Rattus norvegicus: one gene and its partners. The main gene of each other region encodes a partner of the protein of the gene in region 3 in a complex. Links are inferred from orthologs where the notes say so. Each region holds a gene or a part of one and is shown on either strand. Other genes may lie near its edges.

The links. Proteins that work in one complex are often made in the same cells at the same time.
Region 1: Med23 (region 3) and Med1 share a complex: the UniProt entries of both Homo sapiens proteins name them as parts of the mediator complex. The link is inferred for Rattus norvegicus from reciprocal best matches to the Homo sapiens genes MED23 and MED1.
Region 2: Med23 (region 3) and Med31 share a complex: the UniProt entries of both Homo sapiens proteins name them as parts of the mediator complex. The link is inferred for Rattus norvegicus from reciprocal best matches to the Homo sapiens genes MED23 and MED31.

The regions. Positions count from the first base shown.
Region 1 is NC_086028.1:83,682,186-83,687,082, forward strand, and holds the start of Med1 (mediator of RNA polymerase II transcription subunit 1), read right to left. Parts: upstream 3,361-4,897; 5' UTR 3,161-3,360; coding exon 3,136-3,160; intron 2,306-3,135; exon of another isoform or gene 2,231-2,305; intron 1-2,230. UniProt on the Homo sapiens protein: Component of the Mediator complex, a coactivator involved in the regulated transcription of nearly all RNA polymerase II-dependent genes.
Region 2 is NC_086028.1:57,335,530-57,340,544, forward strand, and holds the start of Med31 (mediator of RNA polymerase II transcription subunit 31), read right to left. Parts: upstream 3,361-5,015; 5' UTR 3,305-3,360; coding exon 3,277-3,304; intron 2,387-3,276; coding exon 2,309-2,386; intron 2,036-2,308; coding exon 1,939-2,035; intron 346-1,938; coding exon 153-345; 3' UTR 1-152. Other genes in the region: C10h17orf100 (uncharacterized protein C17orf100 homolog), read left to right, coding at 3,657-4,058. UniProt on the Homo sapiens protein: Component of the Mediator complex, a coactivator involved in the regulated transcription of nearly all RNA polymerase II-dependent genes.
Region 3 is NC_086019.1:22,321,807-22,326,091, reverse strand, and holds part of Med23 (mediator of RNA polymerase II transcription subunit 23), read left to right. Parts: coding exon 1-120; intron 121-1,145; coding exon 1,146-1,309; intron 1,310-3,360; coding exon 3,361-3,485; intron 3,486-4,285. UniProt on the Homo sapiens protein: Required for transcriptional activation subsequent to the assembly of the pre-initiation complex. Component of the Mediator complex, a coactivator involved in the regulated transcription of nearly all RNA polymerase II-dependent genes.

The sequences.
Region 1 (4,897 bases), on a different chromosome or scaffold from region 3:
GGTAGAGAGCTTACCTAGGAAGCGCAAGGCCCTGGGTTCGGTCCCCAGCTCCGAAAAAAAGATCCCAAAAAAAAAAAAAAAAAAAAAAAAAAGAGTACTTGCTCCTTTCCCAGAGGACTCAAGTTAGATTCTCAGCGTCCATACAGAAGTTCACAAACATATCTAACTCCAGTTCCAGGGGATGTGATGCCCTCTTCTGGTTTCCACAGGCACCAGGCACACATGTGGTACATATATATATACATGCTAGCAAACCACCCACATATGTAAAACAAATATTTAAAATGCTACTAGAAACCACACCAGACTGTGTTTGTTATCTGCGTATGTGTAAGCACGGGTGTGAACTGGCCATAGCACCTGTGGAGGTCAGAAGGTTTACTGCAGCCTGTTCTCACCTTTCCCTATGAGTACGTGGAACCTTCCAGGCCTAGATGCATTTTGTTGTTTTGTTTGGTGTTAGACGGGGTCTAAAAAGGGTGGCTTTGAACAAATAGATCCACCTGCCTCTGCCTCTTAAGTATGGCATCAAAGTACTGTTTGACAATGCCTAACGCATCCTTTAAGAGCACTAGCTACTCTTTCAGAGGATCTGGGTTCAAGTCCCATCACCCACATGGCAGCTCACGGCCACATGTAAATCCAGTCCCAGGGAATCTGCTGTCCTCTTCTGGACTCTGAGGGCACCAGGTATATACTTGGTACACAGAAATACAGGAAGACAAAACCACTACACACATGAAACCCATATTCTTTAAAGAAAAAAAGATTTATGTTGTGTGTGTTTGGTTTTTTGTTTGTTTTTTGACTCATGCATGTATAACACGTCTGTGCAGGGAGGCTAGAAGGCACCAAGACTCCTGAAACTAAAGCTACAAATGGTTGTGAGCTGCCCTGTGGGCATGTGCTTCCTGGGAGCCAAATCTAAACCCATGCCAAAAACTCCCCAGCTCTGTCTCCAGCCCCTCCCTGCTTTTCCTTCATTTCAGACATTCTCTCGCCACCCCGCTGACCCCCAAGTCCATCTAGCTGAGCATGACCTTGGAGGCTGACAAGGTGGCTCCCTGAGTAGAGGCATCCCATGCCAAACATGAGAGCCTGGGTTCACGCCCCAGAGCCCACAGTAGCTACAGTAGACCACCTCCAAATACAGAAATATAAGGGGTGGCCTCCACATGCTTGTCCCTCTACCCGGGCTTGCATTACAGCCCAGACTCTCCTCAGTCATCTCTTGTCTCCTTTTCTTTAGCCTCCTATGGCTGTATGCCACTATAAACAGACGCCTTTTTTTTTTAAGACTTTTTATTATGTATACAGCATTCTACCTACATGTATGCCTGCAGGCCAGAAGAGGGCACTAGATATCATTATAAATGGTTGTGAGCCACCATGTGGTTGCTGGGATTTGAACTCAGGACCTCTGGAAGAACAGACAGTGTTCTTAACCACTGAGCCATCTCTCCAGCCCCCAGACGCCTTCTTTTTTATTTATTTTGGGGGGTTGGGGTTAAGACAGAGCTTCTCTGACTGTCCTGTCTCTTTGTAGACCTGCCTGGCTTCAAACTGAGGGATCCCCCTGCCTCTGCCTACTAAGTACTAGGATTAAAGGCATGAATCATCACCACTTGGGGACCAAATTCAGGCCTGTTTTCATGTATGCACAGGAAGCATTTTACCAACTGACTGGCAGCCTTTTTTTTTTTTTTTTTTTCTGGACAAGGTCTTACTTAGCCTAAATGAGCCTGAACTTGCTGAGAAGGAAAGGGCAGTCGGGAAGTCCTGCCCCTCCTGCCTCTACCTTCTCAGTGGTGAGACTACAGGTATGCAATGCCCAGCTTCTGTTCAAACTATCCACTGAAGCAAACAAAAAACTTGTAATTGCATACATAGGGATGCAATACCTTGAAGGATATATTTTGAGCACAATTTGAGCTAGGCATTTCTATAATTAGTTTTTAGTATGAAAACAATGACATCATTCATTTTTGTTGCTTTCTCCTTTTTTCCTTTTCTTTTGGTGCTGGGGATTGAACCTGTGGGCAAACGACCTTGCTCTAATATCTGCAGCCTCTAAATTATTTTTAAATTAACAAACAAAGCAATGGGTATCATTTTGGCATTCTTATAGATGTAAGATGTTACACTGGGTCTGAGTCTTCTTCCTCTGACAGCCACCCCTGCCCCAACCTCAAAACAGTCAAGGCTTCCATTTAGTTCAAACTCCATTTACCTTTCTATCCTGAAGATCTCCTTCTTTCTCACATGGTCCCATATTTTGACAACCAGTACACCACGCCAACACATACTTAAATTGAGATTCCGCATAAGAGAAAATGTGGTATTAGCTAAATACAGCTTATTTTGAGTATCGTCCACTTTCCTAAAAATGTCGAGACTTCATTTTGGATAAGCCAGTCTATCTGAGTTAAGGTTAGGAGGGGGATAGTTAAACCAAGATTTAAACTCTTAGCTGGCTATGATGGTATGTTAAGCTGGCACTTGGGAGGCTGATGCAGGAAGACCTTGTCTTGAAAGAAAACAAAAAAGACTCAATCCCTTCCCTTTTCTTCCTTCAACTGGGAAAGTGGTTTGGGTTTTGTTCCTGCTAGTTCATAGTTCTGAATACATTTCCCCCGAGCTTTAAAGCCATTATTCAGGAACAATTGAAAGAGTAGTTTTTAAAAACACAGCACAGTATTTGAACACTATGACATTCCAAGAAACTACTAGCTTTTATTATAATAAAGACCGCACCATGTCACTCACACCAAAACATCCTCCATCACTTTGACACATTGTTCTAGTGTCATCTTCAGCGATCTCTCCTGGAACAAAGCATCAAGTTTCAGTTTCACTCTCCTGGTAACCCACCAGGCTAAGCTGAAAGTAACCTGAAGCTCATCTACTTGTCCCTAGTCTTGCAGAAAATCTTTCACAAGGGGAGGCGAGGCGGAGCGGAGCCTCAGTGTAGGAGCTCCAACATCCGTAAAGCTCGGTCAGGATCCACCTGGATCCAGTTCCGTGCACAGTGGCCCTGGGGGGACGGGGGGGGCGTGGGTCCCCACCTCCGCTCACAGATTGGCTCCCCACAGTTGTGTCCCGCCCCTTCTTCCCCCCCACCCCCTAGTCACTCACCCTCGGTTTCCCCCTGAGCCTTCATCCTGACAGCGGTGAGGTCTTGGGTCCGCCACAAGCCAGGGAGCCTTTCCCCACCACTAAGAGGGGAACCAAGTTAGCCTGGACTCCGGGGAAGCAGCGCACCAGCGGCCCCCACTCTTCCGGGGAAGGTTCAGTCTGAAGTCCCCGGCGGCAAGAAGAGAAGGGTGCTCGCGGCCGCCGCCATCTTCCCCAACGGAACTTCCCAAAGATCGCGAGATTAATCGTGTTCCTGCAGGCAGAGGAAGAAGGAACAGCACCAAAATCTCGCGGAAATTGGCTGATTCGCCCTTCCCGCGGGATTTCCAACAGGACTGTCTCCGATTGGCTCAGTCTTCACACCTTTCCGTGGAAAGAGTTGACATCTCTTAGAAACTTTGCATCTTGTCAGATACACGTTTGTAAATTAGAAGCGTTAGCTCTTTGGCGCAGCGTTGGTGGCGCAAGCCTTTTATCTCAGTAGGCAGTGGATCTCTGAGTTCGAGGCCAGCCTGATCTACAGAGTGAGCTCCAGGACAGCCACTGCTACAAAGAGAAACTCTGTATCAAAAACAAACAGGGGTTGGGAATTTAGCTCAGTGGTAGAGCACTTGCCTAGCAAGCGCAAGGCCCTGGGTTCGGTCCCCAGCTCCGGAAAAAAAAAAGAAAAAAAATTTAAAAAAAAAAAAACCAACAAACAAACAAAACACAAAGTACAACAGAAAAAGTTAGCTCTTTGAACGCCTGGAGAAGTAGCACATTCCTATAATCCCAAAAAGGAAGGAGGATCGCAAATTCATAGCCACTTCAAGCTCCATAGTGAAAACCAGTCGTTACGAAATAATCTCTCTACTGAAAGATTTCCAATGAATTTTAGTATCCGTAATGCCAAAGGCAGTCAGGTTTGCCTGGCTGTGGTGCGTGCCTTTATTCCCAGCGCTCCGAAGGCAGAGGCAGGTGGCTGTCTGTGAGTATGAGGCCAACCTGGTCTACAGAGTTTTTGGACAGCCAGGACTGCACAGAGAAACCCTGCCTCGGGGCTAAAAGTAAGATTTGTGATATGACAAGACGTGCAACTCACTAGTAGCACACATGCTTCATGTGCCTGAAGTCCTGGGTTTAATTCCTAGAGAAAGTGGGAAGGTGAAATTTCCTGAAGAACAAGCAGCAGTTATGTTGTTTAAGAGAAAGAAAGAAAAGGGAGGGAGGGAAGAAGGGACGGAAGAAGGAAGGGACTGGGGTAATTCCTATGGCTGCTTGCTTTGCATGCAGAAACTCTGGTGTTGATTCCCAGCACAACATAAACCAAGCTTGGTGGGCTTATCCCAGTGTGATGTTTGCTCAGCCCAGGGAGTGGCATTAAGAAGTATGGCCTTCCATCCAAGTACTAACCAGGCCCGACCCTGCTTAGCTTCCGAGATCAGACGAGATCGGGCGCGTTCAGGGGGATTTAGCTCAGTGGTAGAGCGCTTGCCTAGCAAGCGCAAGGCCCTGGGTTCGGTCCCCAGCTCCGAAAAAAAGAAAGAAAAAAAAAAAAAAAAAAAGAAGTATGGCCTTAGGGTTTGGGGATTTAGCTGGGGGGTGGGGGGTGGGGGGTGGGGGGGGTGGCATGGCCTTGTTGGAGTGGAGTAGGTGTGGAGATGGACTTAAATACCCTCAACCTAGCCCTATGGAAGAGAGTATTCTGATAGCAGCCTTCAGATGGAGATATAGACCTCTCAGCTCTGTCTGCCTGGATGCTGCCATGCTCACACTTGGATAA
Region 2 (5,015 bases), on a different chromosome or scaffold from region 3:
ATAGAAATCAACTATTAACAAAAAGTTTTGCCAACCAAAAATAACACTAATAGTTCTGAGTACTACAATAAAGGGGGCAGCAGTCTTTCTCTCTGTACTGTACAATAGCAGTGCATTATATACATGTCCTAGAGCCTGCTGTTGCCAGCTCTTCATTTTCCTGCTGTGGTATTCTGCTGCTGCTGCTCTGCTAGGGCTTGCTGAAGACGCATCCGCTTCCTCGAATAGTGCTGCCAGTGCAGAATCTGCTGTTCGTCAATGAACTTCGCACACTGAGCATTCACCAGCTCCTTTCGAAAGTGTTCATATTGGAGCAGTTCTAACATATGCAAACACTGAGGGTACCTGGGTTTAAGTTCATAAGTCAATTATCAACATAATTTAAGGCATCCCAAGTTCTAAATCAGATACTCCCCTAAAAATGATCTCAAGCCCACCATTTCTACTACTATGGTACCTTTGGTAAAATCACTCCTACCATGTTATTCAGAACATTATGCAAGATATAGTGGAGTTATTTCACAACTTCTCTCGAATTTAAACATCTATAGCTGTTACCTCCAAGAGGACACAGATGAACAGAATAAGGAACAAGCCTACAAACGGCTTAGAGCTACAAGGAGGTGTATTTGATCAGAGTATATAAGAAGAGCTCCCTTACCTCTGGCTATCAATGGAGTAAGCTGCCTCTAATAGTAGAGGGACCTATGATCATAGGGAGCCTCCAACAGAGCGGAGACAATCATCTTTCAACAGCTGGGCTGGAGAGACTGAGCTTGAAGGTGGCTAAAAGTTTGCTAACATGTAACATGTTATACTTTTCTTTCTTTTTTTTTTTTTCTTTTTTTTTTTTTTCTCGGAGCTGGGGACTGAACCCAGGGCCTTGTGCTTCCTAGGCAAGCGCTCTACCACTGAGCTAAATCCCCAACCCCATACTTTTCTAATAGTAATTTCAAGCCTATCATTTGGATTCCTAGAGGAATCTAGAATTGCATCATGAAGAGCAAATCTACAGGCAGCCCAGGAATCAAGTCAGAAAAATGACTACGATTAAAAAAAAAAAAAAGGTTTGAAATGTTTTCCTCTAATTTTTAAAATAGGGTCTCTCTGTGTGGCCCTGAATGGCCTGAAGCTTGCAACATAATCAGGCTGGCCTCAAATTCACGGAGATCTGCCTGACTCTGCCTCTTGAGAGCTGGGATTAAAGGGACACCAAGCTACTTCTGGGGTTTTTGTTGTTGTCCCCTCCTTTGGGGCAGTGTCTAGACAGGGTTTACCTGGGTAGAGTGGCTGTCCTGGAAGCAGCTCTGGCCTTGAACTCACACATGCGCCCGCCTCTGCCTCCCAAATGTTGGGATTAAAGCCAGCTTGGCTTTCTTTTCTCTTTTTAAGTCAAAGCAGAGTTTGATGTGATATTGTTGTGTCTGTTCTTTTACAGTGAGTTAATACGCACAGTGATTGAAACAAAGGACACCACAAAGAAAGGCAGGACCTCTAAGACTCTCAGGAAACAGTTCTTCCTACCGTCACAGGTTATGGGTTGTTAGGCCTCAAAACCCCAGAAAGACAGGGGCAGTGCTAAGTGACATGGTTAGACACGACCAAATTACATTAGAACTGTAGTCTACAACAGTTCACTGGATCTTAGCCTGCACGAACAGTATGCTCTGACTTACACTGCCAAGAGAGTAAGCTGGCTCCCACGTAGACAGTTCTTTGGTTTTGTTTGAAGGGAGTGAGGTAAGAATGGTAGCAGAAATAAATGAAATTCCTGTCATAATCAACCCAAGTTAGAGATAACAGCGTCTTACATCAACTAAAAGCAGAAAGATCCCAAATGCTGTTTTCCATTCTGACACCGAGAAAACTGCTAAATAATAGCACTTAGTATTTATAATAAAGTACACACAGCTTTGGGATTTTAAAAATTAAACTTACTTTAGATATTTGGCATATTCTGGTTCTTTCCAGTAAAGCAAGTACTTAAGATAATTAACAAAAGCTTTGTCTTTGAAGTAACCTCTTTGGGCGAGAACTGAAAGACACAAAGAAACACTCTGTATGTCAACCACTGCTGGGCTGCTGATCTGTAATCTCTTAAGTAAAGTAGCTCTTCTTAACATCCCTACCGACAAAACACAAGGGATTAAAAAACACAAGCCCTTGTTTGCTCAGTTGATACTTACAGACCAGCACAAGTAAAACCCCAAACACATCGAAGTAAATAAATACTATTACAAATTGCATCTCTTCTCAGAAACCATTAAGATCTAGTGAGCTACTTAAGTTAATGATGTACTTAACTTACAATTAAGGTAATTTGGGTTGGCTAAACATTGCACAAATTCCAACTCCAACTGAAACCGAAGTCGATTTCCAGCATCATCTAGGAGAAAAGACAGTAAAAAAAAAAAGAGAAAGAAGGAAGGAACGATCACCCAAAATAAAAGTCACAATACAAACATTGATTTGTAGAAACAAAAATAAAACGCAGGTCAAACAGCTCAGCAAGTAAAGGTGCTTGCTGCAAAGTCTGATGACCTGAGTTCGATTCCTGGAACCTACAGGGTTGTAGGAAGACAACCGATTTCTGCAAGTTGTCCTCTAACCTTGGCATGCACCGCCGCTCACCCCCATAAACACACACACACATGCACACTCATGAATGAACTCAAATATCAAAGTGTGGAAGAAACTTCCTTAGAAATTTAGTTTAATTCACTACTTAGTGAGCCCTGTTTCCAAAACAAAAATAGTAATAAAAAAATCCTTTAAAGTTCGTTGAGGAAAAAATATGTAGAACCTGTACGCCACTGTGGAAGGACGTGAGCGGAGATTATCGGATAGTCTGCAATAGCTGTACGGTTCCCTATGTTGTTATAACCACAACTAATTACGTTAAGCAAAAACAAAGTGCTACACAAAAACGAAGCAGGAATGATTAAACAATGGAGAGAAGACGGTGATATGCATTAGAATACACAGGTTACCGACATTTCAGGCAAGTTTGGAGAAGTTCCAAAGAGCAGACAGTGGAAGGTCTCAGTCCTTTCTATGCGCCCCGGCCCGCCCCGCGAGTCAGGGTTGGAGTAGGGGTTAGAGCAACACAGGAGCAAAGTTGGTCCTACAGGCCATATTCTGGGGGGCAACACCGCCTTCTCCTCCGCCGGTCCCAACTCTAAGGATGAGGAGTTGAGCCCGGAAGACGGCGCAGGGGAAGGGAAACGGGAGAGGATTTTGGGGCGAAGGACCATTCCCGTGCAAAACACAACGCACCTGTCTCCATAGCGACGGCCGCGGCCATAGCAAGCAGAAAGGCGCAAACACTACCAACCCGACCCAACCGCAGCCCGGATTGGTGAAGGAGAATCCGGAAGTCACGGGTCCTACTTCCGGTCGCGGGGCAGAGTGGGACACGAGGGCGGGGACAACTTCACTTTGGGGAAGAGTGGCCCCGCCCATCTGTGCGGACCGGGCCGACTGCGCGCGCAGATATCGAGCGGGGCGTGCCGGAGGGCTTCTCTGATTTCAGGTCTGAGTCCTGCTGCCTACTCTGATGTAATACACCTCTCTGACGTCACCTTCCCCCGGGTGGCGTGACGCAGAGCATGATCCTTGGGCTTCTTTGTTCCTCCTGACCAAAGTGTACGGGCAGGATGGCCTCGCCCCTTAGGAGCAAGTCCTCCGTCCCGCGAGTGGAAAGCACCCGCCACAAGGAGACATCGACTGTCCGCATGGAGACGTCGTCCCACCGCGAGGAAACGTCATCCCACCGCGTGGAGACGTCCTCCCGGCAGGTTCTAACGTCTTCCCGGCAAGTGGAGACCTCCCAGCGCCACCGAGAGGGACCCTCCCTCACCCCCTCCGCGAAGCGACTCCCTCAATTCCTCGAGGTGTCCTCCCAGCACGTGGAAACCTCCTCGCAGTGCATGGAAACGTCCTCCCGCCACGTCAGGGCGTCGTCATCCCTGCGGGTGGAGACTACTGTGCACCGCGTAGAGAGCCCAGCCAGGCGAGACAAGCAAGCCACTCGGCAGAGTGCCAGAATGACTCGATGAAGTGCCATGGTCCTTAGCCAGGACTGAGGAATTGCCAGCCAGCTTCCAGGAGAGCCAAGTATCTTTGGTTTCATGGAAACAGCCCATAAAACAGTGTAAGAAGCAGGCTGTGGTTTCTGGGCACTGTTAACATGTATTGACATTGCAGCACCTTAGTCCATCCTGCTGTTGACCCAGCGTACTATTAACCTGAAGCCAGCACAGAAAGGTTTCCGATTTGTAGTACTGTGTAAACCCAGACGATGGACAAAGAGATTCTTTGAGTCTCTACACCAGGTAAGTTTTATAGTCTTAGGTCCCTCTAGAATGTGTTGACGACTTGAAATCTGCGAAGAGGGGCCAGATTTGTCATGTTTCTTGACTACTGGCCTGATCATATACCTGCTTGAAACCTACAGAGCAAGGCATCATCTTTCACAAATTGTTAATTACCCTTTAATAATATTTATATTTCATAATAAGTTTTCTCGTGTTAAGTTGTTATACACAGTATTCCATCTACACTTTAAAAAATAGGTCAGGAGCTATTAGAAAAATAAGGGCAGGGCAATTGAGAAAAAAAAATACTAATCTTGGGAGGGAACGTGAAGAAGCAGCCATGACACTTGGTCTGGGGCGTGAGATTGGCAGAGGATGGTTACTGAGTACCTACAGCATGCTTGGTACCAGTCAGAACTTGTCGGCTATAGCAGTGGAAAAGACTAAGATCTTCTCAAGTGAAGAGAAAGTAAGACGATGTTCTGTTGTATTCCTGTGAAAGATAAGGTATCTATCTTGTGGTAGCGAGTAGGGCGCTCTTTCGAGAACATGGTCAGGGAAAGCCTTGCTGATGACACTTGGTCTGAGATTGTGTGGGTTAGCAGCAAGCCATATCAGGATCTACAGGGAAGTACATTTTACACAGTACATTTTAAAAAAAAAATTGGAGATGTTTATGGAAGAGAAAAAGCAGTGTAT
Region 3 (4,285 bases):
GCTGGAGATGTTCAGCCACCGGATGCACCACATTCAGCCACATTACCGAGTTCAGCTCCTGAGCCATCTCCACACCCTGGCTGCAGTTGCACAAACCAACCAGAACCAGCTCCATCTGTGGTGAGTGAGTAGCCTGCAGGCTGCCTCCCCTGAGGTTTAGCCCGCCCATGCTTGGAAGTGGGGATCTTAATCTTCCCCACCCCCACTTTTTTCTTATTTGCCATAAAATTTAAATTCTGCTTCTAAGATACTATAATTACAGTGAAAGATTGGAATCCAAGTTTTTAAAAGAAATTGGATTTGCATATGTGTCAAGTCCTGGTTAAAGCATCATTTTATAGGAGGCAGAGGCAGGCAGATCTCTGTGATTTCAAGGCAAGCCTGGTCTACAGGGTGAGTTCCAGGACAGCCAGGGCTACACAGAGAAACCCTGTTTTGAAAACCAAAAAAAAAGTATCATTTCCATTTTGATTTAAGTGAAGACGTATTTCAGATGGAAATCTGTAACTTAATGGAGGAGGGGACACAGTGTCCTGTAGCATAAGCTGACCTGGAATTCATTTTTGTAGCCGACACAAGATAAAAATTCCTGATCCCCTGCCTCTGCCTCCTAAATGCTGGTTCTCTTAGAGTTCTGTTGCTGTGAACAGACCCCGTGACCATGGCAACTCTTACCAGGGGACAGCATTGGTTGGTGCTGGCTCACAGGTGCAGAGGTTTAGGCCATTATCATCATGAAGGGAAGCATGGGGGCATGCAGGAGGACATGGTGCTGAAGAAGGACCTGATTGTTGAGTTTCTGAGGCCTCTTATTCACTCATCCCCTCCAATGAAGCCATGTGTATTCCAAGGCCCAACTTCCTAATAGTGCCACTCCCTGTGGACCCACGGGGGCCACCGTACTGACTCTGCAAGTGTGTGCTGCCTACCTAGTAGTACGGTGTTACTGAAATGCTGTCTGTCTAGGAGAAGGGTCTCTTCTAGCCTAGGGCTCTCTTTGTCAAATGTGTACAGAGGTCAGCTGCTTCAGATTGTACAATTTAGCATCAAAAAGAAGGGCAATGTGTAACCTTTGTGTTATTACATGTTCGTACCTCTGCACTGGGGTCTGCCAACGTGCGTGTCAACTGCGTTCCTGCTTTCAGCGTAGAAAGTACTGCGCTGAGGCTCATCACGGCGCTGGGGAGCTCCGAGGTCCAGCCGCAGTTTACACGCTTCCTCAACGATCCCAAAACAGTGCTGTCCGCAGAATCTGAAGAGCTGAACCGAGCCTTGATCCTGACCTTGGCCAGAGCAACCCACGTCACAGGTAGAGATCCTGCAAGGGACGCTAACATACATCGTGCCGCTCCTCTCAGACCACTCCCTGTGGGAGCACATGCCAAGGAGGTACCTTTCAGGGAAAGCGAGCCAGTTGCTCTAGGCTCTGCTCCGGATCAGTCAAAAATGGAATCCCGTGGCACTGTCATTCTGACTGAGGAAATTCCCAAAGATTTTCTTTTTATGGATTTTCATTTGCACATGAACAAGTATGTTAGTTATTAGAATAGAGAAGTTTTTAAAAGTGCTTATTTATTAAAAGTAATGCAGCATATAACATCAGTATAAGTAACATTTATGAAAACGGGGTTTTCTACAACACAACTCTGGTGGGAAGTGGTGCTTTTGTTTTAGTCTGACGTTGTCCTTTAATGTGTGGAGTAAGCGAGCACGGGTGGTTTCTCCCGTCTGCCTCTGGAGCATTTATATGCTTCAGTACGAGGATGCTACGGTGTTAGAGCACACGAGGAAGCATGGCTTCTCACAGACACAGCCAAGGGAAGAAAGGCTTGGCCACCTTAGGCTTTTCAGATAGCTGCGTGTCCTTCAATATCAGCTGTGAAACCCAGTCCTGTCCGTGGACTTTTCTGCCCTGTGATCCCTGGCCTATTTTTTATTTATTTATTTTTTTTAAGATAGATTTATTTATTTATTTATTTATTTATTTATTTATTTTTATACGAGTACACTCTAGCTATCCACAGACACACCAGAAGAAGGCATCAGATCTCATTACAGATGGTTGTGAGCCACCATGTGGTTGCTGGGATTTGAACTCAGGACCTCTGGAAGAGCAGTCAGTGCTCTTAACCACTGAGCCATCTCTCCAGCCCATCTGGCCTATTTTTTGTATTGAATACATTTTTAATGTATGGGTCTTTATGAATTCACCATTTGGAAAACATTCCCCGAGTTAAGCAGTTGTAGCAAATGTGAACACATCTCACTGTAGTTCCATAGAACATCATTACATCAGGGAAATCAGTCACACTCATGGACGGAAGTTTTCCAGTTCCTAATTGCCACCTAAAACATCAGACTGCGTCTGTAGAAGATGCCGTTCTATGTTCTTCTTAAAACACAGGGTGAGTGTTAGTTTTCTAGAGCGTCTGCCAGATGTTCATGTCTGCATAATTACTTACTTTTCTGTCAGATGCTCATCTACCTAAAACTGAAATCCCATGAGAAAAGGCAGCTGTTGCACCTGAGTACTGCCATTCGAGCACTTTCCCTCAGACTCCTGCAGGTGGTGTGTAGTAGTGTATAGTGGGTAGTCTGGGGCCTTCTTAGAAGTGTGCAGAGAACCAGGCATTTTGCTGTACCATTACGGATAGCTGCAGTTTGTTATTTGAATAGCTGTGAACACACCAAATCCTTGAAAGGACAGTAGGACTAGGTAGGTATAGCAGCACAAGCCTGTAATCCTAGCACTTGGAGAGTTTGAGGCAGGAGGATTTCAAAGTTGAGGTAAACCTAGACTTAAAAAAAGACCCTATCTCAAAAATGGAAGGAAGGAAGAAGGAAGGAAGGAAAGAAGGAAGGAAGGAAGGCAGGCAGGCAGGCAGGCGGACGGACGGACACCGGCAGCTGCTAGAGATCAGCAGTTCAGCAGTTCACAGTACACTGTGAGAGTTGTTTGTTTAAAAAAGGAGAGAAAAGATACCAGATTTATCAATTTCAGCTACATTTTGTAAGCGGTTATTTCCTGTGAGTAAATGTCTCTGATTTAGAGATTTACACTTGGGACGTACAGGGCATGTAGTCCCACATCTGCTTTTTTAGTTCCACTCCTTGACCCTTTTAAAAATAAAAAAAGATTAAGTCCTTTGTTGTCTCTTCACTAATTGTGCTCATATGTTGTAATAAAAAGTCCAAGTCACTTCTAGTTATTCTCAAAGTAAGAGAGTTTAGGTCCTGAGTAAAATATAGGTAAACAGTGAGTGTCCGCACTACAACACCCCAGTGTACATGGATGCTTTTGCTTCCTTTGACAGTATGTATTTGTGGTCATAGAGGGCTGACTCACATCTGTTTGTTTAGATTTTTTTACAGGATCTGATTCAATACAGGGAACTTGGTGTAAAGATATCCTTCAGACCATCATGACTTTTACTCCTCATAACTGGGCTTCGCACACCCTTAGCTGTTTTCCAGCCCCTCTGCAGGTAATTTGGTTCTGAAGTGCATATTAAATAGGCGGTGAATCTTTTCTTCCAGTCATGGTGGCTTTCTAGGGAGTTCTGACTTGGTAATAGCTAAAGAAAATTGGCTATTTCCTTTTTGAAAATTCTTCTTTTTACTTCCCAAATCTCTTGAGTTGCTTCTCATCCTACTGAGGATTAAATGTTTCTGAAAATGTAATTATTATGGTTTCATTTTTCTTTTCTTTTTTTAAAATTTTTTATTAGATGTATTTCTTTACTTACATTTCAAAGGTTATTCCCCTTCCCGGTTTCCTGTCCATAAGCCCCCATCCCTCCCCTCCCCCTCCCCCATACGGGTATCCCCCCATACATCCCCCTTATCCCCCCCCCACATTCCCCTGCACTGGGGTCCAACCTTGGCGGGACCAAGGGCTTCCCCTTCCACTGGTGCCCCAGCAAGGCTGTTCTCTGCAGTTTTAGACTCTCACAAGAGGTTACATTTCCTGAAGAATTCTTTGCTGACAGCAAGATGGAGAGAAACAGGCTTCAGTGAAACTTCACAGAGCACAAAGATACCAACTTGACAAAACTATAACAAAGAGAAGGCGAACCTCAGAGAAGGTTTACGGCATGGTGGATATTGATTTTCCATGACGTCAGGGAGGCTACAATGTCGGTCCTCACATATTGGATAGAGCTGGAAGGCTCGCCAAGCCACAGCTCCTGGGTCCCAGCCTTAGAGCTTCTGCTTGAGCAGATCTGGGGAAGGGCCTTCAGACGGCCTGAGCAGAACCACTGGTCTGTCAGAACTGATCCCTTGT